Caenorhabditis elegans: one gene and its partners. The protein of the gene in region 1 purifies or fractionates together with the protein of each later gene. This does not show direct contact. Each region holds a gene or a part of one and is shown on either strand. Other genes may lie near its edges. The genes, in order: cope-1, nduf-9, mrpl-49 and tmed-10.

Region 1 (5,536 bases):
GCTCAAGAACAAAAACATAAGCAAAAAGCTCAAATTGTTTATCGAAAAAAAATACTTTTCAGGCAGGTCTACCAGGCGTCGGGTTGAGCACAGCTGCCAAATTTTTCTCCATGACATCAATCAAGGATCTCAGAACTTTGCTCCGAAAAGTTCCATCATACCTGAAAAATCCTAAGCTCAAGGAGCACGTGAACGATGAATTCATTCGAAATTTCGAAAAGGCGGAAAATACATTCAAACATCAAATTGTATTTGATCCTAGAGAACGGTGCCAGAAGCCGTTGACACCGTACCCAAAAGAAGTTTTGATGACTGGAGTCGACGATCTGGAGGAGGTTATAGACTTGGATGTAGGCTCATCAAGCTTATCTAGTCACTAATATCGTTTAAATGTGAATTTCAGTCACCAAAGAAGACGGCTCCAAGCTCCAAAAGTTTCGCGTATGCAGGAACAGCTTCTACTCAGCGAATCGCTATTCGGTTAGCGCTAGGAAATCCGGTTAGCAATTCTTTAGGAGCATATAGTTTTATTACATAACTTGAACATTTTTCAGGAAAACAAGAGCTCAATCGACGATCAGTTTCTTCTAGTTCAGCCAACCCCGGAATGGAGTGTCTGGGGATTACGGTAGAAATATAACTTTGAAATAGTAGTGAATACTCTATTAAATAATTAAGATATGAAAGCAAAGGAAGCACACTAGACAAGATCAGCAAACAGAAAGAGTTAGAAGCTACGCAATGTGGTGGAGCTTTCAAGGTAAGAAGAATGAAAATCTCAAAATTTTGGACGATATAAAATTTTCCAGCTCGATTCGCCGTCTGTGAAGCGTGTCAAAGTTGCTTCGAAAACTACCCCAAACGATGACGAAGATGACATTGTGAAGCAATTCATGGCAGATATCGAAAAAGAAAAGAAGGCTATCAAAAAACGGAAAAATGCGCCTCAAGTGGACTATAATGCTGATGTTCTTCTCAAAAAGTATGCAGAACCACCACCGGAGAAGAGACAAAAGATTCTGGAAGTAATCGATGATGATTTCTCGGAATTTTTTCAAGAAAAAGTGAAAGAAAATACCAAGGAAAGTGTTGCCGAGGAAAAAGTTGAAAATAGCAACGAAGAGCTGAAGCCTCCTCCGATTCTTCGAAAAGCGGTTTCAACTCCTGATTCGGCAAGAAAAACTCACAAATTTCAATCGCCGCTTCTCAATCATCAAAATTCGGCTCCTCCGTCGTTGCCGGATAGAAAACCTGCACAAACTTCCAAGTATTTCTCTAAACCAACTTCAGAAAATGGGCGAGTTACAAAACAATCCGCTTGTGAATTAATAAAAATATAATCTAAATACTTTTTTCAGAGTTCCCAAAACGAAAAATCCATTCCGATGTCCTGCATTTGTCAAACCAACGCAAAAAGTTGAAGAAAAAATCGAGAAAACTACGATTCTCGCTGCATTGGAAGAGAACAGTGTTCCGATGCCTAGTTCAAATACCACATATCGATTTGTTGGCTTTAAATCCGCAGGACTCCGTAGAAAATCGAAGCAATAATTTTTTAAAAACTTATTTTCGTTATTATCATTTTATACCGGTTTTTTGTTACGTAAAATATTCGTTTTGTGCCTTTTTCCGAAAATAAATTATTTTCTTCTTTTATTGAAAGTCCGCAATATTACATTGCGCGTGAAGTATGGTGTTTTGTCCGCAAATATTTTGAAGTGACGTGGTGAATTTTTCACCGATTTAATCGAGCTTTTATTCTCGATTCTAAATATCTCCCCTTTTTCAATAGAGATTTCAAAAAATGGCTGACAAGTTGTTCTCGATTCGCAATTATTTCTTTCTCGGAAGTTATCAGTCTTGTATTGGAGAGGCTTTGGTGAGAAATCTTGTTTCCTTCGATTTCCTGGTTTATTTTAATATTTCAGAAGTTCTCATCGAAAAACGAAGAGGAAAAGCAGGAGAAGGATGTTTATTTGTACAGATCGTATATTGCACAAGGACAAGCTTTTATTCCATTGAAAGAGGTAGTTATTGATTAATGAGCAAGCCTGAACTCTTTTATTTATTTTAAGATCCCAGCCGCCACGAAGTCTGCTGATTTAGCTGCTGTTCGCAGGTACGCCGAATTCCGCAACAATCCAGCTGCCAAGAAGAAGATTCTGGCTGAAGTTCAAGAAGAAGTTGCCTCAAGAAACATTAAATCAGAAATCGCAGCTGTTCTTGCCGCTACTATTCTCAATGAAGCTGATGTGAGATATTTATACATTTAATGTTATTTTAAAATTACCAAGAATGAATTTCAGCTCTCCCAAGACGCATTCCGTGCAGTTTCCCGTTTCGAAGGTCTCGAGGCTCGTGCCTCCAAGGTGTTTATTCTCATTAAAATGAACAAGCGGAAGCTTGCAATTGGTGAAGTGAAGAAAATGAATCAAATCGACGAGGACGCTACTCTTTCTCAACTCGCAAATGCTCTCGTCACCTCGTTCGGTGCATCTGGAAAAGTAAAAGATGCTCTTTACATTTACAGCGAAATGTCTGATAAATACGGAAGAACTACTGATTTGGAGATGCATCAAGCTGTTGTTAGTATTTTGACTCAAGACTATGCTGCTGCAGAGGAGCTTTTGGAGGTGAGAGAATAGAAATTTAAGTTAATTAATAATTTTATATTTTCAGAGTGCTCTGGAAAGAGATAACAAAGATGCTGATGTGCTCATCAACTCAATCGTTTCCGCCCAGCTCAACGAAAAAGATGACGATGTTAGTTTCCTTCACTTTAAAACCTGAAAAAAGTGTAATTTTCCCAATTTAAAAAATGTTTAAACTCAATTTTTTTTAAGAAATTCAAAAATTTAAAGTTATTTTTTAATGATTCCAAAAATTTAACAATATTAAACTGAATATTTTTCAGGTCGTCGAACGTTTCATCTCTCAGCTGAAGCATGAGCATCCAAATCATCCATGGGTTATCGATTTCAATGAGAAGGAAGCCGAATTCGATAGAGTCGCCAGCGATTCCAGAGCCTAATTTCCATAATCTCTTATTTATTTTCTGAAATACGCCCTCTCTCAATGTGATTTCTTTGGTTTCTAATTATGCACGTCTATTGGTTGAAAAAATCGATGTAAAAATTATGAGAAAAATAAATTAAAGTGTGGAACCAAAAACCTCAGAAAAGATGAAAGTTGGACTGATGATAATTAGTAATTCCATTTATCGAACCGATACAGTAATCCTCACAATGTGCGCGAGTTTTGAAATTGTTTGCCGATGACGGCCTTTCGGGATTCCATTTGAATTCAATACATTGTTCACCATCGAATCCCCATCTAGACAGATATCCATCATCCGGATGATCGAATATTGGGTGGACGCATGTTTTGGCTGAAATTTTGATTTTAAAAAATTCTGAGATTTTTGCGATAAAAATATGGTCTCGACACGACAAACTTTTGTTAAATGCGAAAAGATGTGCGCCTTTAAGGAGTACTGTAGTTCCAAACTTCTGCTGTTGCGGACTTTTCATCGATTTTCTGATGATTTGTTAAATTTGTGAAATTTTACAGTACCCCTTGAAGGCGCAAACCTTACCCAATTTAAATTAATAAAAATTTGTCGTGTCGAGACCGTCTGCCGTATTTTTAACGGAAAGCATCTAAATTTTCATAATATTTCCTGCCTACAAGGCGGCCTACGCACACGAGCCTTGCTCTAATTTATTGAAATAAATACTGTGCACACACCAACCACGGGATACTATGTGAAAACATAGGCAGGCCCGCGTGAAAGGCAGAAAGTGTGCCTACCATGATCAAAAAGGGAATATATACCTCTATCAGGACAACAAACTCCATCCAATGCTCCAAGAATTGATAATCCCTGAATACATTCAAATCCTTCTGGACACGTATCTGGCTTCTTTTTACTCGAACATTTCACCGGTTCTCCATCTTTTCGGTACATTACTTGGTATCCAGCTCCTTCCGGAGTTGGACATGTCAATGGAGGACCCGAGTTGCCGGCTGAAGATATTATATATAGTTGATGGACTATATGAAACTGGTATATATTGGCTACTAATTTAATTTAATTTAATTTAATTTATTACGATAGTAAGATATCGTGAGGTAGAGAAAAAAAAGAACACACATTAATAGATACAAACCATCACAAGTGGTTACATAAATAAATTACATAAATAAAACGAAACAAAAATAAAAAAGAGATGAGAAGAAAATAATGGCTACATTGGAGAAGAAGCAAAAACACAAATATCGATGTATAAAAGGCAAGAATAAATGATGGATAGAAGTGAGGATAAGGTAACATTAGACTAGCGATTTTGCTATAAAATTTTTCTAGTTGCGAGTTTATTTTGAATATAAAATTAAAAACTCTAAATAAACGGAAATATTTGCTCTGCTAGTTCGCAAACTAGTTGCCAGAGTAAGGAAATCAGAAAATCTACTCAAAATTAAAGAATAATTTTCTAACTCACTTGCATCATTAGTTGCCAAACAAACCCATTCTCTTGATGCACTTTTCTTTCGAATTGTATTCTCAGAACAACGGCATCTTCCACGAACACATATTGCGTCTGGCCATTTCAAATCGCATTCTTCATTGGTCAGGCATTTCTGGAGTTATGTGGAATTAATAATATTAAACAGAAAACTTATTTAAAGTTTAAAGGTGGGCTAAACTGTCCAAATAATTTTTAAGCATTTTTGTATGCATTCAAAAAGTGCAGAAATTTTACAACTTGTCACCTGTAATAACTTTGGAAGTCGCTTTTTATAATTATGTTTGATTACCTAACGATGTAAAGCGATGCTCGAAATTTATCAAAACGCCTAATTTTTAAAAATGTTTTTGAAAATTAAAAAAAAATACACTAACTTAACATGGTGGATTATAAATAATTAGAAAAATTATTCACTGAAGATACTCCCACATTAGAGAATAAAAACGCATTCTACGATAATTATAACCAAGAGTGCAGCCACAAAAAATCCGAAATTAAAAATCCAAAAAAATATTTTCAAACATGAGGATGTTCGTCCTGCCCAGACGTAAAACGTGCCGTTTCAAACATACCTCACAAAAACAAATTGATATCATTAACATCAATAAGATGAATGAATTATGGATAGATACCATGGTTCTGAAACTAAACGCCTTTTAAAACCAAATGATCGATAAATGATACTGCAAAGGTGTTATTAAAAAGATGAAGTGAGACTTTATGTGAAAAGAAAAAGAGAAAAGTGATATGAATAGAAAGTGTAACAAACTGGATAAGGAAGTGAATGGAGGCAAAGGAAAAGCTGGTAGCAGAACGGAAATTTATTGGTTTGAAACTGACACGTTTTAAGTACATACATAATAAGCTTAAAAGGATCAAGAAAATCTTTTATCCCGGGAGTTTTGGACTCTGAAATTTCCATCTGATCTAATAAAAATTTATGAGTCTACCTTGAAACGATTGATGTATTATTCAATTATGTTCCAAAAAATGCTCTACCTGGTGTA
Region 2 (10,570 bases), about 10 Mb from region 1:
TCGGCTGATTTTTATCGAGTTTTCGATTTTTTAAAGAAATTTGCGGTATATAAACAATATATAACACAAAACTTAGTTTCGAAATGTTCCTAAATGCTTAAACTTCAAAAAAAAAGCCAAATTCACCGAAAAATCGATAATTATCGATTTTCGGAATTCTTTAACCCGTTTTTTCGATTTTTTTTTTTTGGAAAATTTGAAGAAAACTATGTTCTCCATAACAAAAATCCCTTAAAAATTGGATTTTTCATTGAAATTCAAAAAAATCGATTTTTCTCCAGAAAATCGATAATTATCGATTTTTCGCCATTTTTACGACTTTTATCGATTTTTTCTCATTTCAAATGACTATTTTTCAGTATCCAATCCGCCGTTACTTCTCACCACCAATGAAACGCCGCTCGAAAAGTGAAGATCAAAAAATTCGGGAGACTCTGCGAAATCGGCCGCCTTTTATACTTTATTGATTGATTTTTTATAGGTTATTTTATCGATTTTTCTGTGTTTTTTAATTTCTTTCATGTCGGATATATACAAAAATAAAGCAATAATTGAATTAATTAAATTATTTTTTGTAGAGTTCCTGTGTGAAAATTTATTTAAAAATCGATAATTTTCGAAAAGAAATCCATTTTTTGTCGGAAAAAAAAGGAATTATTGATTTGTTTTGCTAATTTTCGGAACAGCCCAAATTAAAATCTGATTTAGTTTATTTTTCCGAAAAAAGTCAATAATTACCAAAAATTATCGATTTTTCGTTCATTTTCGGACAAAAATCGATAATTTTTGAAAATTATCGATTTTTTAAAGGAAATTTGATTTTACTGATTTTTTGTGCTCTTTTTTCTTATTTTTCATAATTTCTCAGGATTCTTATAATTTTTTTTCAGAATTTTTGCAAATCTACCAATTTTTCCCATCAAAATTCTCGATTCATTTACGCGTATAAATACAAAATTCAGTTTTTTCTAGAAAAAAAATTTAGAACCAAAAAAAAATTAAAATCGCTCTATTTAAACTACCAAAGACAACACAGAAATCGAAAAAACAATCGATTAAAAAAAATCTTAATTAAAAGCGACATTTTTGCTCGTTTCCGACTTGATTCCAGTTGCTCCTCGGCCAGTGTTCTTTTTGGTAAGTGGTGGTGAACGAAGTGGAAGTGATGGAGCCGGAAGTTCTCCATATTGTTCTTCGAAATATCGATTAAATGATCGATAAAATGCTTGTTGTCCACCAGCCAATTCGAATTCAGTCAATCGGCGGACTCCGAGGTCGGCGAGAGTTCTTTCGCCCGTCAAAATGTCCGATTGTACTTCCTGAAAATGCAAAATTAGAAAAAATCAATAATTTCCGTAAATTATCGATTTTTTCGCGAATTTTTTAATCAAAAATCGATAATTTTCAAAAATTATCGGTGGAAATTTTTCTATGCGATTTTTTTTCAACAATTCCGATTTTCAATTGAAAAATGCGAAAAATAGAAAAAAAAATCAATAATTTTCAGAAATCTTTGTTTCAAAAAAAATTCCGCGGAAATTTTTCAACAAAAAATCGATAAAATCACTTTTCCGACAAAAAATCGGTAATTTTTAAAAATATTAAATTTTTTTTATTTTTTTAAGATTTTATATTCGATTTTTCTTTTAAAAAAATTCCGATTTTTATCTGAAAATTACAAAAATAGCAAAAAAAATCGATAATTTTCAGAAAATTTTGAATTTTTGTCGGAAAATCGGAATTTATCGATTTTTTGAAAATCAACAAAAAATCGATAATTTCCGTAAATTATCGATTTTATTCGCTAAATTTTTTTTTCAAAAAAAAAAATCAATAAAATCCATTTTTCGACTAAAAATCGATAATTTTGAAAAAATTTTCGATTTTTTTCGAATTTTTTTGATGAAAATCGGGTTGTTTCCGCCACTTCTACAAAAAAAATTCCTCAAAATTGTGCCTACGCCTACCTGATTTAACAATTCAACGGTAGGCACAAGGCAGGCGTAGGTAGGCTTTCCGAAATTTCCAATTTTTTGACTCAAAAATCAGTTTTTTTTAAGTGTTTTTCACTTAAAAAATGGATTTTTCCGTAAAAATTGCCCGATTTTTGGCGGAAAACCGATTTTTAATTAAAAAAATCTAAAATTTGAGGCGTTTTTGCTCATTTTAAGCCCTAAAACCTACCACAAACTCCATCCATTCTCTGTTGAGTGGAACTTTACACTTGAACACTTTACCATAGAGTTCGGTGGCCATTGTGAGAGCCATGAAATATGGATCCGGCATTCCGTGACGCTTGTATCTGCAAAAATTTGAGCTTTTTCTCGGGTCCCGCCACGAAAATAATTGAAAAATTCGCGATTTTTCTCGAAATTTCACGCCTGGGTCCCGCCGCCACGAAACAATACCTCGCGGGTTACTGTACTCAAGAAATTTTTTTTTTTCAACTTTTTCGTGGCGAGACCCAAAAAAAAATGTAGTTTTCACGATTTTTACGTCTAAATTTATATTTTTTAGCCAATTTTCATAAAGTTCACGTTAAAAATCATCAATTTTCAGTGAAAATATTGATTTTTTTGATTTTTTAAGGTCTCGCCACGGAATAATATCTCGCGGGTTACTGTACTCGTGAAATTTTCGTTGCGAGACCCGATTAAAGCTACAAGCCTAGAATTTTGAGGAGAATTCGAATTTTCAAAATTTCCTGATTGATGCACAACCCATGTGCCTTTAAATTTGAAAAAAATAAAGTTTTCGTGGCGAGACCCAGTTTTCACGATTTTTAAGTCCAATTTTCATGAATTTCTCGTTAAAAATTATCAATTTTCATGATTTTTTTGCCCAAAAATTAGCAATTTTCCTTCATTTTAGGCCAATTTTCGGCGGGAAAATCGAAAAACCGGGTACCTGAATCCAAAATCAGACAAACAATGCGCTTTTTTGTACATGAAATCAATCAATTCAGACAATTGATAGCAGTGTGGTCCAACAAATTCATAAGTATGTCCTTTTGCTGTTGGATCATTTACAGCACTTTGAATTCCGGCGGCAACGTCTCCAACCTGCAAGAAAATCGGAATTTTTCGCCAATTTTCTCGAAATTTTGATCAATTTCGTTGAAAACTCGGCAAAAAATGGTAAATTTTGAGCCAAAATTTGCAAATTTCTGTGAATTTTTTTTGAAATTTTACGGATTTTCACTCCTTTTAATGAAATTTCGCGCGAAAATACCGTTTTTTAATGGAATTTAACCAAAAAATTCAATATATATACTTGCCATTTTTAGCAATGTTTCAACAATTTTTTTCAAGTGAATATGGGAAATTACCGAAAATTGGAATTGATAACATTTTTAAACGATTTTTTGTATGTTTTTCGTCAAAAATCGTCAATTTTCTTCAAAATTTTCAATTTTGGACCAAATTTCAGCCATTTTTTGTCATTTTTGGCCAATTTAAACGTTTTTAAAGCTTTTTTTTTTATTTCGCTTATTTTCGCAAATTCCACCGTTTATAGGCAGTTTTAGGCCGAATTGTATGTATTTCGAGTAATTTTTTGAATTTTCAAACAAATTGGGCCTATTTTGAACAATTTTCACTCATTTTTGGCCGATTTTTCTTTTTTAAACTAAAACTAAAAACTAAAAAAGCAACCTGCAAGAAAATCGAGATTTTTTTAGTGATTTTTCGCCGATTTTCTCGAAATTTTGATCAATTTCGTTGAAAATTCGGCAAAAAATGGTAAATTTTGAGTTATTTTTACTGAAATTGTGCGAAAAATGAATTGAATTTTGGCAAAAATTCAAGGTTTTGAGTCAAAATATCCAAAATTTGGTCATTTTTCGCAATAAAATGGTGCCTACTTATGCCTACCATCAATTTTTTTTCGGCAGAAATGGACAATTTTAAGCCAAAATTTGCAAATTTCGGTGAATTTTTCTGAAAAAATCATCATTTTTGATGGAATTTAAGCAAAAATTCGAGATTTTCAGTCAAAATTTGTCATTTTTAGCAATTTTTTGACAATTTTCTGTGTGAAAATCGAAAATTTTGTTACATTTTTGAGGAGAAAACGATTTTTGCCAAAATTCTACCAATTTTCGACTAGTTTTATCAAATTTTGGGTGAAATTCCGAAAATTTTCAGTTTTGTGCCAAATTTCAGCCATTTTCAGTCATTTTTGGACAATTTAAATGGTTTTAAAGCTTTTTTTCATAAAATTTCGCAAATTCCAGCGTTTATAGGTAACTTTAAGCCTCATTTCCTTGAATTTTGAAATTTTTTTTCTCTAATTTTTAAGCAAATTAAATAAATTCCATCAATTTTTAGCGAATTTCACATATTTTGAGCAACTTTATATGAAATTTCGAGACTTTTCATAAATATTTGGACTCATTTTAATTGTATTAAAAGCCAATTTTTATGAATTTTGACATTTTTCAGTTCATTTGGATTTATTGTAATGAATTTTGAGTCATTTTTTTCAATTTCAAGCGAATTTTCATGAAATTTCGTAGATTTAGACCGATTTTCACGGATTTTCGACTTTTTATTTTTAAAATTCAGTTATTAGGTCAAATTACACCATTTTTGGCCGAGGTTTTGAGTCAAAATATGCGAAATTTGGACATTTTTTGCATTTTTTCGCAAAAAAAAAATTGTGCCTACTTTATGCCTACCGCCGCCTACCATCAATTTTTTTTCGGCAAAAATGGACAATTTTAAGCCAAAATTTGCAAATTTCGGTGAATTTTTCTGGAATTTTACCGATTTTTACATTTTGATGAAATTTAAGCAAAAATTCAAGTTTTTCAGTCAAAATTTGTCATTTTTAGCAATTTTTTGACAATTTTCTGTGTGAAAATACGATTTTTGCCGAAATTCTACCAATTTTCGACTAGTTTTATCAAATTTTATGAAATTTTGGGTGAAATTCCGAAAATTTTCAATTTTGTGCCAAATTTCAGCCATTTTCAGTCATTTTTGGCCAATTTAAATGGTTTTAAGGCTTTTTTTTCATAAAATTTCGCAAATTACAGCGTTTCTCGAATTTTGAGTAATTTTTCCGATTTTCAAACAAAAATTGGTCATATTTTGAACAATTTTCAGTAATTTTTGGCCGATTTGTTGGAATTTTTGACTTTTTAAATTTAAAATTCAATTTTTAGACGGACTTATGCCAATTTCCTTGAATTTTGAAATTTTTTTCTAATTTTTAAGCAAATTAAATAAATTCCAGCAATTTTTAGCGAATTTCACGTATTTTGAGCAACTTTATATGAAATTTCGAGACTTTTCATAAATATTTGGACTCATTTTATTTGTATTAGGCCAATTTTTATGAATTTTGACATTTTTCAGTTCATTTGGATTTATTGTAATGAATTTTGAGTCATTTTTCTCAATTTCAAGCGAATTTTCATGAAATTTCGTAGATTTAGACCGATTTTCACGGATTTTCGACTTTTTATTTTTAAAATTCAGTTATTAGGTCAAATTACACCATTTTTCTCGATTTTCATGAAATTTTCTACTTTAAAAAAAAATTTTTTTTCGTCATTTTTGGCCGATTTTCACGTATTTTAGGTCATTTTTCATGAATTTTCGCCCAATTTTCAATATTCAAACAATTTTCAGCCATTTTTGAATTTTTATTGACTAAAATTCAGTTTTTTGGTCAAATTACTTCAATTTTTTTGAATTTTAAGTAATTGTTCAGCATTTTTGGCGAATTTCACGTATTTTGAGCTTTTTTTAAAATGTATTTTATGAAATTTTGATTAATTTCGTTCAAAATTCGGTTGAAAATGGATTTTTCTATAATTTTAATCAATATTAACGGAAAATAAAATTTTTTTGACAATTTTTAATGTGAAAATCGTAAATTTTCAAAAAATCTCGGTTTTTGTGAGTTTTTCGTTAAAATATTTAATTTTGTGCCAAATTTCAGCCATTTTCAGTCATTTTCGGCCAATTTTCACGTATTTTAGGTCATTTTTCATGAATTATCGGCCAATTCCGTACCCAAATCGGCATTTTATACGTTTCTTCTCCCTTCTTGTACAAATACACATAATCCAATGGAGTTTTTCGCCATCTTGACACATAATATTGAATAAATCCATCCAATTCACCGTAGATCACAGATGGGCGAATAATTGTTGCTTCTGGGAATTCTTCACGTACAGCAACTTCTCCGAGTCCTTTTGAATGAAGAAATTGCGATTTTGCGACAAAATGTCCCTTTTGTGGTTGTGTAGTTGCTCCGAGAGCCGACAAATGCACAAATTTCTCCACACCCATTTCTTTGCAAATTCGAGCCAAACGGCGGGCTCCCGTGTCGTTGACGTCATAGTAATTGTACTTTCTGCAAGGAAAAATGGCTTAAAATTGGGATTTTTAGAAGGAAAAAGTGGGGAAATTTGAATTTTTCAATAGAAAATGGCAGTTTTCTCGAAAATTTTGGAGAAAAATTGAGCAATTTAGTTTTTTTTGAATTTTTTAAAAATATTTTTTGAATTTTCAGTGAAAAAAACGGCGCGAAACTCAAAATTTTGAAGATTTTTCGGACATTTTTCAAATTTTTAGCCAAAAAGTGGAGCCAAATTCAAAATTTAAGGGGATTTTTCAATTTTTAATTGATTTTCAGTTGGAAAAAGTGAGGAATTTTGAGTTTTTCAATGAAAAAACTGGAAAAAAAGAGCTTTTTTTTTGAATTTTGAATGATAATTTGGTGTAAAAAAATTTATTTTTTGAATTTTCAGTAGGAAAAAAGGGTTAAATTCCACATTTTGAAGGTTTTTCAGGCATTTTTTCGAATTTTCAGCGAAAAAGAGTGATTTATTTGGTCAAAAACGGCGCGAAATTTGAATTTTTTGAATTTCCGGCATATTTTGTGAATTTTTCCGCTCAAAAATCTGCAATTTCCTCACCCAGTCGGCACACGAGTTCCGATCAAGTTGATGACGACGTTCGAGTACTTTACAGCCTGAAAAATTGATTTTTTCTGGATTTTCTAGAGAAAAATCCAATTTTTCTCGATTTTCACCTAGAAAACTCTTTTTTTTTCGGAATTTTCTAGAGAAAAAACCTAATTTTTCTCGATTTTCACTGAGAAAACTCTATTTTTTCTGAATTTTCTAAAGAAAAACCCATTTTTTCTCGATTTTCACTGAGAAAACTCTATTTTTTCTGGATTTTCTAGAGAAAAATCCAATTTTTCTCGATTTTCACCTAGAAAACTCGATTTTTCTCTCAATTTCCACGAATTTTAATACCTTTCGAATGCTCTCCTCATCCATCAGCTCAAATGGAAAATAGAGGACTTGTCCGAGCTCGCCGAGCACTTTGTGCTCTCTCATGTAATACGGATCCTGGCGATACGGAATAATGATTTGTGAGCCATTTTTCGCGAATTTATTGACAACTGGAAGTCCCAAGAAGCCTGACGCACCGAATACGGTCACCACATTGCCGGAGAAGGAGGCTCTGCAAAAATTTGGAATTTTTAACGATTTTTTTTGGGAAAAAATTGATTTTTTTTCAATGTTTTTTCAATTTTTCCTAGATTTTTTCCACATTTTCCAGTTTCAAATCATTCTTAGGCTTTTCCTGTACCTTCCACCGGCTCCCTTTCTGAATTGAGCACTCTGAGAGCTGACACGTGGCTCCGGATGAGCATTTTCGGCGGAGGTGACCGCGCTGCTGAAATTCTGACTTCCAACGACCGAAACCGCCTGCCGGGCGCCCAAGCCGGATCTACCCAACACTGATAGCATGGCTGAAATTAGGAAAATCGAGATTTGCAATTGTTTAAAGATTTTTAAAGATTTTTAAAGACTTTTTAAGAATTAAATGGGTTTTCTGCGTTTTTTCGGGATTTTTTCCAGCTAAAAATAGCTTTTCCGGTCGAAAAAATCGATTTTTTATCAAAAAAGCACCGAAAATAGCGAAAAAATCTGGAAAAACCGCTAAAAATGGCTGAAAATGAAGTACGCGGTGCCGAAATAAATAATTTGGCCTGTACGCAATATGGCGTCGGGTTTGACGTTTGCGGACTCGAATGCGCACTTGGAAGGGCGGGGATTGATGACCGTACTCCAAGGAGGAATGAGAAGCTTTGAAATTAGCAAAAATTGGTGAGAAAGGCGGTTTTAAAGAGAGTTTTCAATCTAAATTGTTGAAAAATTAATGAAATATTACTTTTCTTGTTTTACATTCAAGAAAAATTATTAAAATCTTTGAATTAAATAGAAATGCGAAGTTTTCAAGGGATTTCTTCAAAATGTGCGAAATTACAGAAGAATACTGGTAGATTAAACTGAAAATGACATCAAAATTCTCAATTATTAATATTATACGCTATCGAGATAATAAGCATTTATGGCTACAATGTATACGCCTCTCAAAATTACGTTCACATTGCTTTGTGGCTTTGCTGGTAACTCTTTTGCCTTTCACGCAACACACCGGGGTTCGACTCCGCACTGTGGTTCTTTTCTTTTTTTTTCTCGATTTAACCAATTTTAGTCAATTAAAATTCAAATTTAACGATTAAAACCAATTTATTTATCACGTGGAACCCAGAAAAGGAGAAAATTTCGGCCTAAAAAAGTTGAGACACTTGTTAAACGCCGGATTCCTGAAGCAATTCGAGCTGCACTCGGCGGCTAGATTCGGCTGGTCGACTGAAAACATTTCATGGCAAAGTAGGCATATTCTCGTGAGCACTTCGTTTAGAGCCGGTCGTCGGTAAGCCTGGAAATCAAAAAATATTCCGAATTCTTGAAAAAATGCGGAAAAAATCGGCGAAAAACTAGGGTTTTGAATGATTTTTCTCAAATTTTTCAATTTTTTTCAGCGAAATATCGAATAAAAATCGATATATCTCCAGAAACCCCCGAGATTTCCACCATTTAAGCAAAATTCTCAATGGAGCGCGTTTGCAGCTTCGTTGTTCGCTAGAGCGCACTTACTTTGCAGTTCCTCGAATGGTGGTCGGGGCGGGAAAATGAAAATCCGGCAAACGTGACGATAAGTAAGAAGAATACTGGAAAAATCAATGGAATTGTTTAGGCCACAGTGGTTTTTTGGCAGATATTTAGAGTTTTAAAAAATAATTTTCACAGAAACGTTGGCCGAAAGTTAATTTCCAGCGGCGAAATCGCGGAAAAATGGAGCTTTTCGAAGAAAAATTTCGTGGCCTATTTTTTCAGCTGGTTTTTCTTGGCCACGTCTTAAAATTTGAAAAAATTTGATTAAAAAGCAAATTAAGCACGTTTTTCAAAATTAAAAGTGAAGACATAACGCGTTTCTCGAAAAATTTGCAATTTTCTAGAAAAATGCTGCGTGGCCTAACTTTTCCGGTTATTTTTCTAGGCCACGTCTGAAAATTAGTTTTTTATTGAAAAGCAACGAAATTTTTCAAATTTTTCATACTAAAACTGAAAAAAATAGATTCTTCACGGAAAAATTTCACTTTTTGTGAAAAATTTCCCATGGCCTAACTTTTCCGGTTTTTTTTCTCAGCCATGTCTGAAAAATTAAGAAAAATTTGGGGAATCCATGAAATTATGCATGTTTTCTACGAAACATAATTGAAAAAAAAAACGGTTTTCTGCTAAAAACCATGCGTGGCCTAACTTTTCTGGATTTTCTAGGCCACTGAGCCCGAATATGGGGTTTCTAGGCCACGTGGGTCCTGAATCCAACAATAACTTACATAAGTGGTTTAATCCGTTCATTTTAGATGAAAAATAGTAGAAAATTTCGGAAAAATCTTTTGGAAAAAAAATTTCCGAAACAAAAATTTTTTTGTTTAGAAAATTTTTTTTTCCAACAAATTTCCAAATTTAGCAAATAGGTCTTATTCCATTTAAAGGTCCCCTATATATATCGTGTTGCGCGGGAGAGGTGTCATTCGATACAATACGACGTAATTTCCTCTTCCAAAGAGGCGAATTTGTGTCCTCTTCCGCCCAGTTTTCTGAGATTTTGCACGATTTTGGGCGGTTTTTTTTGGGATTTTTGCATTTTTCAGCCGGAAGCTTGCGCTAGACGCGATTTTTGATTACTCACGGGATGGTTTTAGGGGTATATTGTAGTTTTTAGCAGGGGTAGGCATGGGCCCCTTTCACTGGGGATTGGTGACGTCATAGGGGCTTGAAGGCGTGAAGGAGCGAAAAAATTGATTAAGAGGGTATTTTTGAAAAGAGTAATTGGAAATAGTGGAAATTTGAAAAAATTTCACGGTATAAGTTATCTAAAAAAAATTTTTTTGGACATTTTTAAAAATTTTTTCCAAACTTTTTTATACTTTTTTCTCACAGAAAAATCAGTTAATACATCCTTTCCTGTTACAATAAAATTCTAATTTCCTAAAACAAAACTCAAAAATCTCAAAATTCAGACTTCGAACCTAGTTATCTCCCGATACATGCGTTTTAAGTTAGCGGTGACGAGAGAGTGTGGGGAGGGGAGACGCAGGCGGCGCGCGCGCTCTCGTCGTCTGCGTCTCTCCCCCTTCTCTTTCTCTCTCTCTTCGCCAAGTTCAAACGCCCGTATCTCATTAA
Region 3 (6,061 bases), on another chromosome or scaffold:
TCAATTGGAGTGGGTACCGATTTCCTTTAGTTAAATCTATAATTGCACTTTTCATTCCTAACAAAATTAACGAATGTTAGAGCTTTCATAGAATATAAAACGATAAATCATTTTAGAAATTTTAATTTTGTTTTGGAAGTCAATAAACGGATGTCTTAGAAACGAATTCTAGAAATGAAGAATATTTTTATTTATTTTCAGATAATTCGAATTTCCAATTTCAGAAAACTTGCTCAAAGATCTTTAATTTGATTTTTCAGTTGCAAAACTTACCAAATTGAAGAACTGCATATTGAGAATAATATTGATAGGCTGATCGCACAACACACAGAATTCTTATTGAGAACCAAAAGAGTAGAAATGAACGAGCACACACAAAAAGTCTTCATGTGCTCACGCCCCTCCCACCTTTTGCTCGAGCTCCGCCCTTCTTAGACTTTCATCATTTTCTGGAGGTTTTCGAGTTGAGAAAAAATTATCTGAAACCAAGGCAACGGGTTCATGGATATCGTATTATCTCTATTAATACTGCATTATGTTTTAATCTTATGCGCATGGGTCTCGGCACGCCGATAACGAGCTACTGTAACTCATGTCGGTTTCTTGCATAATTTTCGACTTTTCTCAATTTCAGACATATACGTAATAATAAAGCTTTTCACACAATTATGTTTGGAAGATTGTGTACTTTGTATTTTTTTTCCACTTCTACGATTTTAAAGGAGCGCATTTATGCGGAATGGTCTCGCCACGCGCTGCGAACGAATTCAAAAATTTGATGTGTGCACCTTTAAGGTTACTGTAGATTTTGCTCAAAAATCTCCATCGTTTTTTGTCGTTTTCTTCCTTCACTAATAAAGAAAGAATACATTTATTTCGTTTTTGAAACTATTATTATGAGTAATTTGAATACAAATAATACAGAAAATTGAGAAAGGAACTTGTAAAAACAAAGTATTGTATTGTATTGTATTGTATTTATTACGATTCAAATCGTGATCAAAAATAAATAAAAATAAATAGTGAATAGACATGAATAAGTTAAGGCCGAAACATCATAGAGAGATTGATAATAATCACAAAAATTGATAATAAACATACAGTATTGGAAGAAAACAAGAAAAATCGATGGATTTCAGTGCAAATTAATACAGTAATCTTAAAGGCAGATATTCAAAGCTTTTTAAATCAGTTCACCGCTCGTGTCGAGACCATTACTCTTTAAACTCTTCAAAATCGTAGAAGAGGAAAATAATGGAAAATAACTTCGTTCTTCCAAAAGCAAGTGAATGTGCTTTTCAAAATCTGAACATTTCTAAATACAAAGTTTTGGAAGTGTACTTTTTTACAACCATAATTATATTATAACAAACAGTAATTTTCAGTCAGACACCATTTTCATATTTCTCGATGCTGAAAAATTTGCAACAACTTAGGATAATCCCAAAGAACCGATCCAAATGAGAAAAAATACCATGCCCTATAACCGGTTTCAACTGAACCTAAAATGTCGTGATCGACCTTTCGTCGAATGCATGCCCATTCAACGTTGAGCCGATTTGAGTGCTATTTCAACATGAAATTTTTGATTCTGTCCTTTCTTCTCGTATCAATTTGCTCTGGAGGTGGTGGATTCCCGATTCAAATGTTGACAAAATGTGGAATTTCAAAAGAAACCATTGATGGCGTTCAAAGTGTAATCGACGAACATTCGGTATTTTTAAAACGACTTCTTAGATATTGAAAAATTTTTCAGGCAATGATTAAAATTGCTAACTCGAACAAGCGTGCCAAAAAAACCGAAATCGATTCTTTGAAGGCAGATATTGATTTATATTTAGATGAACATGCATCTGACGACGACAAGGTAGGATTTCTAATCTAAATTTTACATATTTATTTTTTCCAGAAAAGATGGATTGAGTGCTTCACAAAGAACAACTCCTAATTGTCTTGATTTTTCACTTTTTTTTTGAATAAAAAATTTTAACGTGTTGATAAGCTGTAACACTTTATATTCATAACAACAACGTAACAAACGTCATTTATGCGTCAGTCTTTTGGACCTTAGCCTTCTTCACTTGGGAGCGGACGATGGCGGCGGCACGACGTTGAGCGAGCTTGTTGAACTTGTTGAATCCGGCGTTCTTGGCCAAGCGACGGACTGAAGCAACTGGGGTCTTGCTCAAGGTGGAGGTGGTGACGGCCTTGGCTGGTCTTCCCTCTGAGAAAAAACAGTGTAAAAAATAAATTTTTAAAAAATCTCTTACTCTCGTTCTTGGTAGATACAACGACTCCCTTGGCGGCGGCGCTGACGTCGATGGCGTGCTTGTTAGCGAGTCCACTGTATTTTGGGCTGTTCACCTTCTTGAGGTTGAACTTCTCAGTGGAGAATCGCTTTCCGATTCCGCGCTGGGTTCTGAGGAAAGCGCTGTTGTTGCGGATGACTTGCCACACGAGAGCGTCGGACATTTTACCTGGAAATAAATTATTTTATGATGAAAGTTAAATACAATAAGATACAACGGGAAACGTAAGAAAAATTCAATAAAATCAATTGTACACGTAGGTTTTCAAGCAAATTTAAGAATACAATTTTACAAAGTCCTAAATGTCATTTTTCCTGCTCAAACTTTTGACTGAAATGCATAAAAATTCGCTGATAAAAACAAGCAGAATACGCCAAAATAGTTGCAAATTATAAAATTTACAGAATTAATACAAAAAATTCGATATTTTACTCAAAAAAATGGAAAAAAAGAAGAAAAATAAATTAAACTTTCGTTGAGCTGGCCTAAAATCTAATAGCAAGCGCGCTCCATTGCCAAACGGTGTAAACGCGGAGCCTCGTTTGCGTGTAGTTTTTATCGTAAATCGACACAACTTCTTTCAAAATAAATTATTTCTTATGAGTAATTTTCTGCATTCTATTGTTGTGTTTCAATTAATCTTATTTTTAATTTGATTTTATTCAAAATTATATAATTTTATTAAGATGCTGGGTTCTTCTCTCCGCATTTTCTCCCCTCGAGCAGTTTCCAGGTTGTCTTTTTCAACAACTTCAGTCGAAAAAGCTGAGAAACTTTGGGAAAATCCATGGAAACATGCTCTCCCTGAAAAGTGTAAGTTATTTATTATCATATAATTTTTCTACTAGCAATTACAGCCAGAAGTCTTGCAACGGTCGAAGAAGCTCCTATCGATTGGTCGTATGTGGAAAGATTGATGCCAATAGAAGTGGTGCCGAATGTTCCTGAGCACGAAAAGTATCCTACACCAAGCGGATGGACACCACCGACAGGTATATACAGATTAAATTCATACCGCATCGAAATATTTCAGAAGCAGCCAAGACACATCAATACTACATTCGACGTCGTCATGACCATCTTCTTCCTCTTTATTTGGAACGAAAAAGGGATTTACTGAATGAGAAAACGTTGGATTTTGATTATGTCGAGCTAGTAACTATCAGAAACGTCGACGGAGACATTTTTGTAAGTTGGGAACATTATTAAATCCTGAATCAACATAAATATCTTTCAGGCTTGCGAAAATGATCTCCGCTCCTATCTTGAAGAACATCTTGGACATTCGATCGCCAGTCACGTCGATGAGTTGAAAGGTCGTATCAAAATTAAAGGAGCTCCACGTGTTCTTATTGAGCAATTCTTCTACAGCAAAGGATTCTAGATGTATTCTTGATATATCTTTTAGTTTTTTATCTAGGCAGATTTGTTTTGTTGTGAATTTATTGTTGGAGAATGAACTAGAAAAATTCAATTGTCTACTTTATCATTTTTACCTTCAAACCGGTTATTTCACCGTCATTTCCTTATTCTCTTCATTTTGTATCATTGCGAAATGCCGAAATTCTTCTCTAGAATGCCTTCCTCAATTTGTTGCACAAACTGCAGAACTAAATATTCATTATTAAACAGAGAAGTTATTTTCTGGCATCAAAAACTAATTAATTTCTATTTTTTCAGGCCGGCTGCTCGAATTGTGCTCTCTCCTTCTGTAAGAAATGTCTGCCTCATCGTGCAATTATTCCCACACTTTCGGATTTACCAATGATTGTCTGTAACAATTGCTATCAAAAATTGGAATCTGCCAAAATGAAGCCCAGCGCGACTGTAAGAAAAAGAACAAAGTAAAAACTAAATAGATATTAATCCCACGATTTTTTTCAGATAACATCAACGCCTCTACCAGATAATTCGAATAAATCGAATAAAAATTGGTGGGGTGATGGACTTCCACCGCCATCATTCAGGAATTCGCACACAAATCAAAATCAGATTAAAAATAGTGAAGTCAAAGCAACTAAATTCAGGAATTCGCCAGAAATTCCATCGCAGCAGACCAAGGTAATTAGCGTCACGGAATTTTCTTAATTTATTTTTCAGTTTTCAGCCAAATTATCCGACCAATGACCTGGAACAGCGAAGACTTAAACTGCGAGAAGATATTTCACCACAAATTGAACCACTCAGTATATCAGAAATTGAAGAACGATTAGCAAAACTTCGAGAATGTGATGTAGAAGTGATACGTAATCCTCAAAGTGTAAGTTGGACAAGGATGTTTTTAATTAAAAATGTGTCTTAAATATAGAAAATTACTTGATTCATCTGAAAATATAATTTTTTCAGTTGAAAATTTAAAAAAAAGTGTTTAAAATGACCTTAAAGTTACAAATTGCAGATAATCAAATTAAAGAGCTCTGTTTTCGGCAATTAACAACTTTCAGACCGTTTTCGTGAATTTTCTCAAGCGTTTCAACTGAAATACATGTTATTTTCTTTCAAACAAAATAGTTTTCTATATTTTGACACTAATTTTTATTGTAAGATTTTAGAAAAACATTGGCCAGTAGGTCGTTTTGTAGAGTTTCCGAAAATAATTGCCGTCCACCTCAGAAGTTGATTTTTTACGCCTAAATACCATTTTTAACATTTCAGTGGCTAAAGTCTTCTTCCAAGGAACCTGCGATGAACGCCAATAATCCATCTGAATTAATGCGAGTAGCTGAAGATCGTGCAAGAATTGAAAAAAAAGAAGAGGAAATGGAACATAAAGACTGGGATGAGCTTGAAGCAAGACGTAGGAAAATATTTGAAGATGAAAAAGAAAAAAATAGAGAAGATGATGCTTCAATACGAGAATCAATGGTTTCTGCAAACACAGAGTTTAGTGAAGCAACGAAAGAAGAAATGAATGAGATTAATAAGTGAGTTGGTGAATTTTTTATTTGAAATTAAACTGAAATACAGTTTTTTTTGAGAATTACAATACTTTTCAATAAAATTCAGTCAGCAAGCTGTAGAACTGGGACCGAAAAATTCGAACCAAAAAAAATCAAACAAAATTTTTTTTGGATTCGAAAATTGGAACTTTTTACAAAAACTGAAAACCACAGTTTGCTAAAGAACATTTGTAAAATATGAAAAGTGTTTAAAATATAGAAAATTAGTTTTTTGGTGTTTTGTCACAAAAACCAAAAAAAAAAACAAATTTTCGTCGAAATATTACAAAAATAAACAAACCCCAAAAAAGTACTAACCCTGCTGTAGACTTTTAAAGTTTTACGCATATTCAATAGTATTCCAGTATTCTTCAAGACGCAGAACAACGTGTAGCTGAAACCAAGAAGCAAGAAGAACATGATGCCGCTGAACTCAGAACTCTCATGAAATCTAGTAAGTTTAAAACGAAAATTTGAATATTTCTTCAACACAGTCTTTTACAAACCTTTTTACTGCCAGCTTAATTTCTTAATTTTGCTACAATTTCAGCTCGTCAGAAGTCTCTTGACGCTATTCAATGGAATGATAAGATCACGAAAGAAATTGGTGGATTTTGGGATCGAAGAAACGAAAAATTATCTGTAGATGAAGATGAAGATGAAGACGAGAAGTCCTTAGACGAAGAGACTTTCAAAAAGATTCTTCACGAAGCCGAAAATTCAGAAGATCTGCCTCCTCAAACTTCGGAATCAAACAAGGCGTCAACACCGAGCAACTCGAGCTCACCGAAGAAAAAGGGATTATTTGAAAAG
Region 4 (8,091 bases), on another chromosome or scaffold:
GACTGTAATGCATTAATGGTTGGCTTATATAGAATTTAGCTGAAAACTCACGAGTAGATAGGTAAATTTGTAGGGATTGATATAGGCTCAAATGCGTAACCAAGAGTTCTTACAAATTTGTAGTGGATGCTCATATGATCTCGATACTGACAGCCGTAATATTGAGCTGGGAAATAGTTATTGGTGTAAGCAAATACTGAAAAAAAAAGTTATTTAACTCAAAATTAAGTTTTCAGGTTAGTATAACAAATCATTGCTTTATGAGAATGAGTTCTTACAATTGTCTTCTTCGGAAAAATATTCATTGTATTTATGCAATCCCACCATCCACTCTGTTGATAAGTAACCCGATTTCGCCACAAGTTTATCAGTTGAAGCTGGAGAGATCTCGAACTTAGATCTCCCTTCCCGATCTATTACGTGATACACAGCTCTGACCTTTTGGGGAAAGTTTTGGCACGAGTCAACACTACAGTTAAGATCTTTTAGAAACATTTCCATTGTGAATCCACGAACTGCGTTGAAAGATTGAGAGTTGAAGTCTTAATTATTTTTAGATATAAATATGAAGGGATATTACAAAATACCAATATTATTTAGAACATCCGATTGGGAAAGTTTGATGAAAAATACTGACTTCATGGGTGACGCATTTGTATCAGCGAATCGAAAGATCGGTTCAAGGACAATTTGTTGAATGACTCTCTTTGATTCAACATTGAAAAGAGCATAATTAAAAATTAGAAAAATGAGAAGCCTCATAATTTGTATTATAGGATCCGGTAAACTACCAAATCACAGAACAAAACACCTACAGTAAACTCGTGGCATTGTTATCATGTTAATGAACTGTTAATGCATATTCATCACATCTCATTTACAAAAGAAAGATAACAGGAAGTTAGAAAATTACATGGAATAAAAATATGAACACTTTGTTGAATGAGGGGTTGAAGAGGACGCTTTCAGCAATTTATGCACCGCAAATTTTTCGTATTCTTATCAACTTCGCAATTAATTTTCCATGTTGTGTGTTTTATTTTAGTTGTTTTAATCAATCAATATATTTTTTTCGAAAAACTATGGAAGATCTAATAATATTCCAGCACTATGAAAGTTTGAAACTACAGTATTCTTTAAAGGCGCACATCTTCCCGTATTGAATAAATAATTTTTGTTGAGACCGGTACCGTATTTTTGGCTTAAAAATAGCACAATTTTGCATGTGAGATATTAAGATACGTGCAAAGTTCATTTGCATTCATAAGAAATAGGTTTTGTCTTTTCTTGAAAGCAAACATGTCTTTAAATATTATTTTCCACAGCGCCTCAGATCGGGAGAGAAGAGCTAAAGAAGTGGTTTTGGCGCGGGAGCGCGTTTGCTGCAGACGTCGCACGAATTGGAATTAATGTGTAACAAAACAGTAAAATATCGCGTTTTTGCTGGATTTTAGGGATTTTAAAGCAATTTTCAACATGCGGGACCGCCCAGAGACTGTTCGCGATGCGATTTACTTCATTTTAATATAAATTTTCCCCCAAATAAGCTCGAAATGAGCTCTGAATTTCGGCGGATCTGAAAATTTTTTTTGACCAAAAACAGAATTTTGCAAATAAAAATTGATTTTAGAGCAATTTATTGCATAAATATTCAATTTTAGAATTTTTACTAATAGTTTGAATCTTTTTAAAGTGTTTTAGTCATTAATTTGACTGATAACACAGAAAATGATTTTTCTTTACAACGAAATCGATAAAAAAGTAAAGCAACATTTATCAAGGGAAATCTTGCAAAATTGGTTAAAAAACTTGTATGAAATCAAAGATTTCACTAGAATAAAGCTACAAATCAATCAAAATCACTAAAAGTACAAATAGTTCTGATCAAATTTCAATGTTCCAATCTACCAATGGATCTATGCCACGCCAAATTTCTTATGCAAGTGTTGCTCTCCAATTTTCCTTAAAAAATGGATCAAATACTCACATAAATGATCAAATTAACATTTTTTACAAGTTTCGTGTTATATTTTCTTTTTCTTAATAAGGAACCATCAGGTTCTTCCTGCCCTCTACGGCTCTAGATACCTCAACTTCGACAACTCCTATCTACTCGGAGAGGTGAGAGAACTTGTAGAGCACATCAAAAACTATGATATTCAATTTAACCTGCGTTTTTATCTTTCAAGATGGGGGAGTTAGACGTACATTTGTATTGCATGCTTTTTGTTATTCTACTGGCTGCTCTAACTCCCTCATCTTAAGAGATAAACACATGATTTTAACTAATTAGTATAGTTTCTACAATTTCCTAGTTAATCACTTTTTGATATCTTGCATCTCTGAGGAGATAGGAGTTGTCGAAGATACAGTATCTATAGCTATGCGCATATGAAGAATCTAATGGATTCTCATCATGCTATACTACTTATCATCTGCTTTTTGTGGGAAACAATGATTCAAAAATGTTTTTTCAAATGATCAAACAAGTTGTGATTTGATCTGAACATTTAGTGTTGGTTTAGTGAAGATCAGCTGCCAACTAAACAGTTTCCGTTGATGTGGGCATTTTTGAACAATTTCAAGACGTGAAACCGTGTTATCTCTATCAAGCTGACGTTTAAAAATTGGAATCAAACATATTAATGCTTGAAAAAATTTGTTTCGCGTAGAAATTTTGTCATAAAGTTAACTTGTTCTAGTCGGTTCGAAAATCAATGAAAAAGCAGCCAAATCGTGAATTTGTTGAATAAAATGTTTTTTAAAACTTTTTTAAAGCAATAATAATCCCAATATTTAATTATTTTTTCCAAATTTCATCTTGAAAACTCGAATAATCGCGAAATTTCGTCTGAAACTCATTTAATACCGTAAAAGTGTGCAAACGCGCTCCGTTGGACTTTCCTATTCTCGATTTTCTTAACTCTCCCGATTTGAGGCGCTGTGTTTTCCTGTTAAAATGCGTTTGTCAACGTTGACAACTCAACTACGGTTGCCAATGCGTGTTTGCGTACACACTCGATCCCACGCGCAACTGCATACGCCGCGTTGGTTTTAATTCCATCTTTTTTAAATTTATTTTCGGCGTTTGTATTGATTTTTGCTGTGTATTCCTTTAACATGAACTGATTTTTGTCCATGATAACTTTTGAACAACTTAATATTCATTATCGCATTTTTCTTACATTTATTTCCAGGTAATCATCCGAACAATTATGAAATCTCTAGTTATCTTTCTGTCAGCTATCGTTCTTGCCCATTCTCTGAGGTTCTACGTGCCACCAAAAGAGAAAAAGTGTCTGAAAGAGGAAATTCACAAGGTAAATACTTTTACAACTCCTTGTTACCATAGCAGTAAAGATGTCAAACATACTTTTTTTCGTTAAAAATTGATATATTTAATAAACATCAGAATTTATGTCTAATAAAACCTCTTGCAGAATGTGGTCGTAACAGGAGAATATGAGTTCAGTCAAGGAATTCAATACACTGGAAGTATTCACGTGAGTAAAAATAGTTTCAAAATTACTTCAAATTTTTAATTTATTTTCAGGTCACCGACACCAGAGGCCACACTCTCTACAAACGTGAAAACTTTGCTGATCTAAAAGGAAAATTCGCGTTCACTGCTGACGAATACGACATCTTTGAGATTTGCATTGAGAATCATCCACCAGCTGGGCATCCTGGAGAGAAGCGCGAGGTTTCTCTTATTTTGAAGCACGGAGTCGAAGCCAAGAATTATGATGATATTGCCAAAGCCGAGAAGCTGAAGCCACTCGAGGTTGAACTTAGAAGATTGGAGGATATGGCTGATTCAATCACCAAAGATTTCGCATTCATGCGCCAAAGAGAGGAAGAAATGAGAAATACGAACGGTAAGTGTTTAAAAAATCATTTGAATCATATAAAAGGTTCGTAATTATTTTAATTTAAAAATAATGCATTGCCGATTATCCAAGTACAGTGCTCCACATAATGATACGGCCACCCCCAAATTTTGGTATAACTCAAAACTGGGTTGAGATAGCAAAACATAATTTCTTGTGAAAATGTCCGCTGTACTGGCTAACTTTCAGATAAGTATTGGAAATATACATGAACCGTTCGTAAAAAAAGATAAACCATTTTTTCATGAAAATCCATATAAAAAAATCCACAAAATGATACGGCCACCCTTGGTTATTGTTTTCTTTTTTCGTTTTCTTTGCAATTTTTTTTGCTAAACGTTAGGTTTCATGTTCGTTTGTGTTTTTACAGCTATGTGTCGTGGAATAACTTTAACTGACTACGGAAAAAGACAAATTGTGCAAAATTATCTCAAGGCTTTTCGGATCGTCAGATTTCTCGTGATTTGAAACGTTCGAGAGATATGATCATTCGATATGCTTCAAATCCTGCCGCTCATTGCACCAAACAGTCTTCTGGTCGCCCACCACTTCTTTCTGGTAGAGACAAGCGAAAAATCGTTCGTCGAGCATCAAATTGAACAGTGACTTTCTCAAAAATTAGGCGCGAGATGAACCTGCCAGTGTCTGTTGAGACTGCACGACGTGTTCTTTCGAATTCCCAGTTTATCAAAAGACGAAAATTGAGAAAGGCTCCTTTCATTACCGAAAAAACCGCTAAAATCGTATTCAGTTAGCTAAAATCAGCCAGAGAACTAACTGGAGACAAGTGAAGATTACCGTATGATCATTCAAGCCCAATTTTGGTTTTAGTTCATCTTTTCTTCTCTCAAATCGTACCAGTAATCACGGTAGCCTTCTGGTTCATCACAGTTAAACTTTTCCTCGTCACTGAAGATGATCTGAGACCAATACATGAGCTTGAATGATCATACCGTAATCCTCACTTGTCTCCAGTTAGTTCTCTGGCTGATTTTAGCAAACTGAATACGACTTTGGCAGTGTTTTTCGGTAATGAAAGGAGCCTTTCCTAATTTTCGTCTTTTGATAAACTGAGACTTCGAAATAACACGTCGTGCAGTCTCAACAGACACTGGCAGGTTCATCTCGCGCCTAATTTTTGAGCAAGTCACTGTTCAATTGGATGCTAGACGAACGATTTTTCGCTTGTCTCTACCAGAAAGAAGTGGTGGGCGACCAGAAGACTTTTTGGTGCAATAAGTGGCAGGATTTGAAGCAAATCGAGTGATCATATCTCTTGAACGTTTCAAATCACGAAAAATCTGACGATCCGAAAAGCCTTGAGATAATTTTGCACAATTCGTCTTTTTCCGTAGTCAGTTAAAGTTATTCCACGACACATAGCTGTAAAAACACAAACGAACATAAAACCTAACGTTTAGCAAAAAAAAATTGCAAAGAAAACGAAAAAAGAAAACAAAAACCAAGGGTGGCCGTATCATTTTGTGGATTTTTTTATATGGATTTTCATGAAAAAATGGTTTATCTTTTTTTACGAACGGTTCATGTATATTTCCAATACTTATCTGAAAGTTAGCCAGTACAGCGGACATTTTCACAAGAAATTATGTTTTGCTATCTCAACCCAGTTTTGAGTTATACCAAAATTTGGGGGTGGCCGTATCATTATGTGGAGCACTGTATTAAGCTTTTATTATCATTGTTAATTAAATAGATTTGTAAGGCTACAACATATCGTTTCGAGACGCAATTCATTCTCTTCACGGAGCAGGATATTGTGATCCCTGGAAATTGTTTACCACTTTACTTGAGCAAACTCTAATTATTCGATTCATCGACAACCATCTATTTTTTACTTTTTTTTACAGAATCGACAAACAGCCGAGTTCTTTACCTGTCCATCTTTTCAATGCTGTGCCTTCTTGGTCTTGCCATTTGGCAAGTTCTTTTCCTCCGTAATTACTTCAAGTCGAAAAAGCTTATCGACTAGATTTCCCCAACCCTTAATTTATGATTAATTTATCAATTTTTTTTTCGGTTCTCCTCAACTTCTTGCTTTTCCCCCAACATCTCTTTTGTCCACACACCCAAACGTTTCATGTGATTTCTAATTGGTTCCCACATCTTTTTTACTAGATAATGATGATAATGAGTATTTTATTTTGTTGGATTTTAGTTGTTTCCTCCCCCGTTAATCTGCACAAGTATCAACAAAGGGTAAAATGTATAGTGTGTAATGTTTCCGTCTTATTTTTCTGTTTTCATCATTGCCGTTTTTTAAAATCATTATTATGAACTTTTAAATTGAAACATTGAAACATCAATTGGTAATTTACTCACCATATGGTGATTTAGTAAAGTACATAAGATCACTTTTCAAGAAGTCTTTTTCAGACGTCATCCTTTCAGAAATAACTTCAGACTTCATTCTCCACCAGTTCACTTACAACAATGATCGGTCTACATATTTTCCACTACGCCGGCTTTTTCGGAGCACAAATCTTCAATACTGTTCTGGCAATATTAATTGTGAAAAGAGCTGGAAAACTGTTTGGTAGTTACCGTCATGTTATGTTTGTATTCACATTTTGTTCGATGTTGTACTCTGCAGTAGAGATAATTGCACAGCCGGTACGATACAATAGAAAATTGGAACTTGAAATTGAAATTTTGAGAATGTTACTTCAAATAATCGTCTTTCAGGTACTATACATGAAAGGTCCAATGTTTGTCGTGTTTCTTGATAATAACGTTTTTTCTCAAGGCATTGGAAATGTAGTTGCTTGTTAGTTTTAAACATTTTACTTTTCATAGAACTCTTAAACAAAAAATGAATTTCCCTCTTTTTTTGGTTATTGAAGTGAAAACAACAATTTACAGGTCTTCATTGTGGTACCTTTGGATTTTTGATTTCTGTATTTGCGGCACAGTTTTTCTACAGATACATTGCATTGTGCAGGTTTTCTTGAATAGATTCAACAAATTTCTGATTGAAACTCTTTTCAGACAAAGTCTGTTATCTTATTTCGATGGATATAAAATATTTTTGATCTTCATTCCATGCGTAATTACATACATTCTCTGGTTTGAACTTGTCGTTTGGGGAATGTCTGCGACTATGGAAAAACGAATCTATTTGAAGTTAGTGATAATTTCAGCGTCCATGAGTAGTTCAGTAGCTTTTTGAAAACGTGGCCTCTAGACGTGATGAATCAGTTCTGACACCTAATTTCAGAGATGATTTTAAAAATATGTATGAATCAGATTCAATGATGATATCTTTTATTGCTCCGTTGTACTGGAACAATGGACCAAATAGAGAGAAAGTTTGGAGATTTAAAGATGCAGCCTCTGCACTAGTCTGTACTGGAATTATTGTAAGTTGCCATACCAGTTTTGCCAGAACACAACTCATACATCTGCTCTGTGCCTTTGTATAAATAGAAATATCAAGTAACAAACATTTAGGGATCATTAACAACTTTAATTTGCTTCTTCGCGTTACGAATTTATCTAAAAATGCAAAAAGAAAAAGGTCATATGAGTAAAAGAACTCTGGAATTGAACAGGCAGCTTTATATAATGTTATCAATCCAGGTATGTTTTCTAGATGATAACATATATTTTAAATATTGAAATGTTAAGACTATTGTCCCATTTATAACAATGTACATCCCAGTGGGTCTTTTCATTGTTCTCCCATTTTTTGATATGGGATTAGGTGCGTATGTGAATTATCCCAGTGCCAGTATGTCTTTGTATCCTGCAATTGAACCATTAATTGCAATTTATTGTATAAAAGACTTCAGAAAGACTATAGCTAGTAAGTTTAATAAGTATTCTTATCGTGAGAATTATCACAAATTTCAGATTTCTTCCGGAGAGTTCGTGTTGGTCCAAATGGCATAAGTGTGTACAGTACTAGTGGAACACAGATGGCAATCAAATAAACAATCATATTTTAAGTATAACGTTTCCTACTATTTTTGCATGCTCTACTTTTTTTTAAAAATAAAGTTCATATGACTATATACATATATGAATATTTTCATTCTGGTTCTTTGAAAATATGATAATACTTGATCTCAATAGACTTTAAGGATCGATCTAATAAAAATGTTACTTGGAATACAACTTACTAACTTGTAAAAAACATTGGCTTCAAGTTTTCTGAAATGAGAAAATTATCCCTCGAATGAAA

The links.
Region 2: the proteins of cope-1 (region 1) and nduf-9 fractionate together in Caenorhabditis elegans (co-fractionation; one large-scale study listed by BioGRID). This does not show direct contact.
Region 3: the proteins of cope-1 (region 1) and mrpl-49 fractionate together in Caenorhabditis elegans (co-fractionation; one large-scale study listed by BioGRID). This does not show direct contact.
Region 4: the proteins of cope-1 (region 1) and tmed-10 fractionate together in Caenorhabditis elegans (co-fractionation; one large-scale study listed by BioGRID). This does not show direct contact.

The regions. Positions count from the first base shown.
Region 1 is NC_003281.10:13,424,550-13,430,085, forward strand, and holds cope-1 (Coatomer subunit epsilon), read left to right. Parts: upstream 1-1,714; 5' UTR 1,715-1,804; coding exon 1,805-1,879; intron 1,880-1,928; coding exon 1,929-2,027; intron 2,028-2,075; coding exon 2,076-2,252; intron 2,253-2,306; coding exon 2,307-2,633; intron 2,634-2,679; coding exon 2,680-2,763; intron 2,764-2,914; coding exon 2,915-3,031; 3' UTR 3,032-3,172; downstream 3,173-5,536. Other genes in the region: exo-1 (Exonuclease 1), read left to right, coding at 63-350, 404-499, 555-628, 679-760, 810-1,297, 1,359-1,551; Kunitz-type protein bli-5, read right to left, coding at 3,174-3,388, 3,835-4,026, 4,503-4,641, 5,102-5,164. UniProt on the Caenorhabditis elegans protein: The coatomer is a cytosolic protein complex that binds to dilysine motifs and reversibly associates with Golgi non-clathrin-coated vesicles, which further mediate biosynthetic protein transport from the ER, via the Golgi up to the trans Golgi network.
Region 2 is NC_003281.10:3,240,797-3,251,366, forward strand, and holds nduf-9 (NADH dehydrogenase [ubiquinone] 1 alpha subcomplex subunit 9, mitochondrial), read right to left. Parts: upstream 7,780-10,570; 5' UTR 7,778-7,779; coding exon 7,617-7,777; intron 7,488-7,616; coding exon 7,277-7,487; intron 6,988-7,276; coding exon 6,932-6,987; intron 6,367-6,931; coding exon 6,024-6,366; intron 3,063-6,023; coding exon 2,908-3,062; intron 2,303-2,907; coding exon 2,185-2,302; intron 1,320-2,184; coding exon 1,068-1,319; 3' UTR 921-1,067; downstream 1-920. Other genes in the region: Y53G8AL.1 (FHA domain-containing protein), read left to right, coding at 360-467; Y53G8AL.4 (Apple domain-containing protein), read right to left, coding at 8,571-8,756, 8,975-9,048, 9,721-9,742.
Region 3 is NC_003283.11:12,725,636-12,731,696, forward strand, and holds mrpl-49 (Large ribosomal subunit protein mL49), read left to right. Parts: upstream 1-2,995; coding exon 2,996-3,122; intron 3,123-3,166; coding exon 3,167-3,301; intron 3,302-3,342; coding exon 3,343-3,497; intron 3,498-3,546; coding exon 3,547-3,693; 3' UTR 3,694-3,782; downstream 3,783-6,061. Other genes in the region: nssp-67 (Neuropeptide-Like Protein), read right to left, coding at 274-291; R11D1.13 (DUF148 domain-containing protein), read left to right, coding at 1,577-1,714, 1,757-1,867, 1,910-1,948; rpl-28 (Large ribosomal subunit protein eL28), read right to left, coding at 2,046-2,224, 2,271-2,472; zfyv-19 (FYVE-type domain-containing protein), read left to right, coding at 3,886-3,945, 3,990-4,136, 4,194-4,370, 4,417-4,569, 4,965-5,233, 5,614-5,702, 5,799-6,061.
Region 4 is NC_003283.11:11,322,071-11,330,161, reverse strand, and holds tmed-10 (GOLD domain-containing protein), read left to right. Parts: upstream 1-3,197; 5' UTR 3,198-3,215; coding exon 3,216-3,320; intron 3,321-3,440; coding exon 3,441-3,503; intron 3,504-3,553; coding exon 3,554-3,878; intron 3,879-5,758; coding exon 5,759-5,880; 3' UTR 5,881-6,197; downstream 6,198-8,091. Other genes in the region: F47G9.6 (DUF1968 domain-containing protein), read right to left, coding at 1-2, 52-196, 279-542, 588-762; str-141 (Serpentine receptor class r-10), read left to right, coding at 6,342-6,521, 6,594-6,675, 6,771-6,849, 6,897-7,031, 7,126-7,267, 7,359-7,487, 7,536-7,713, 7,761-7,840.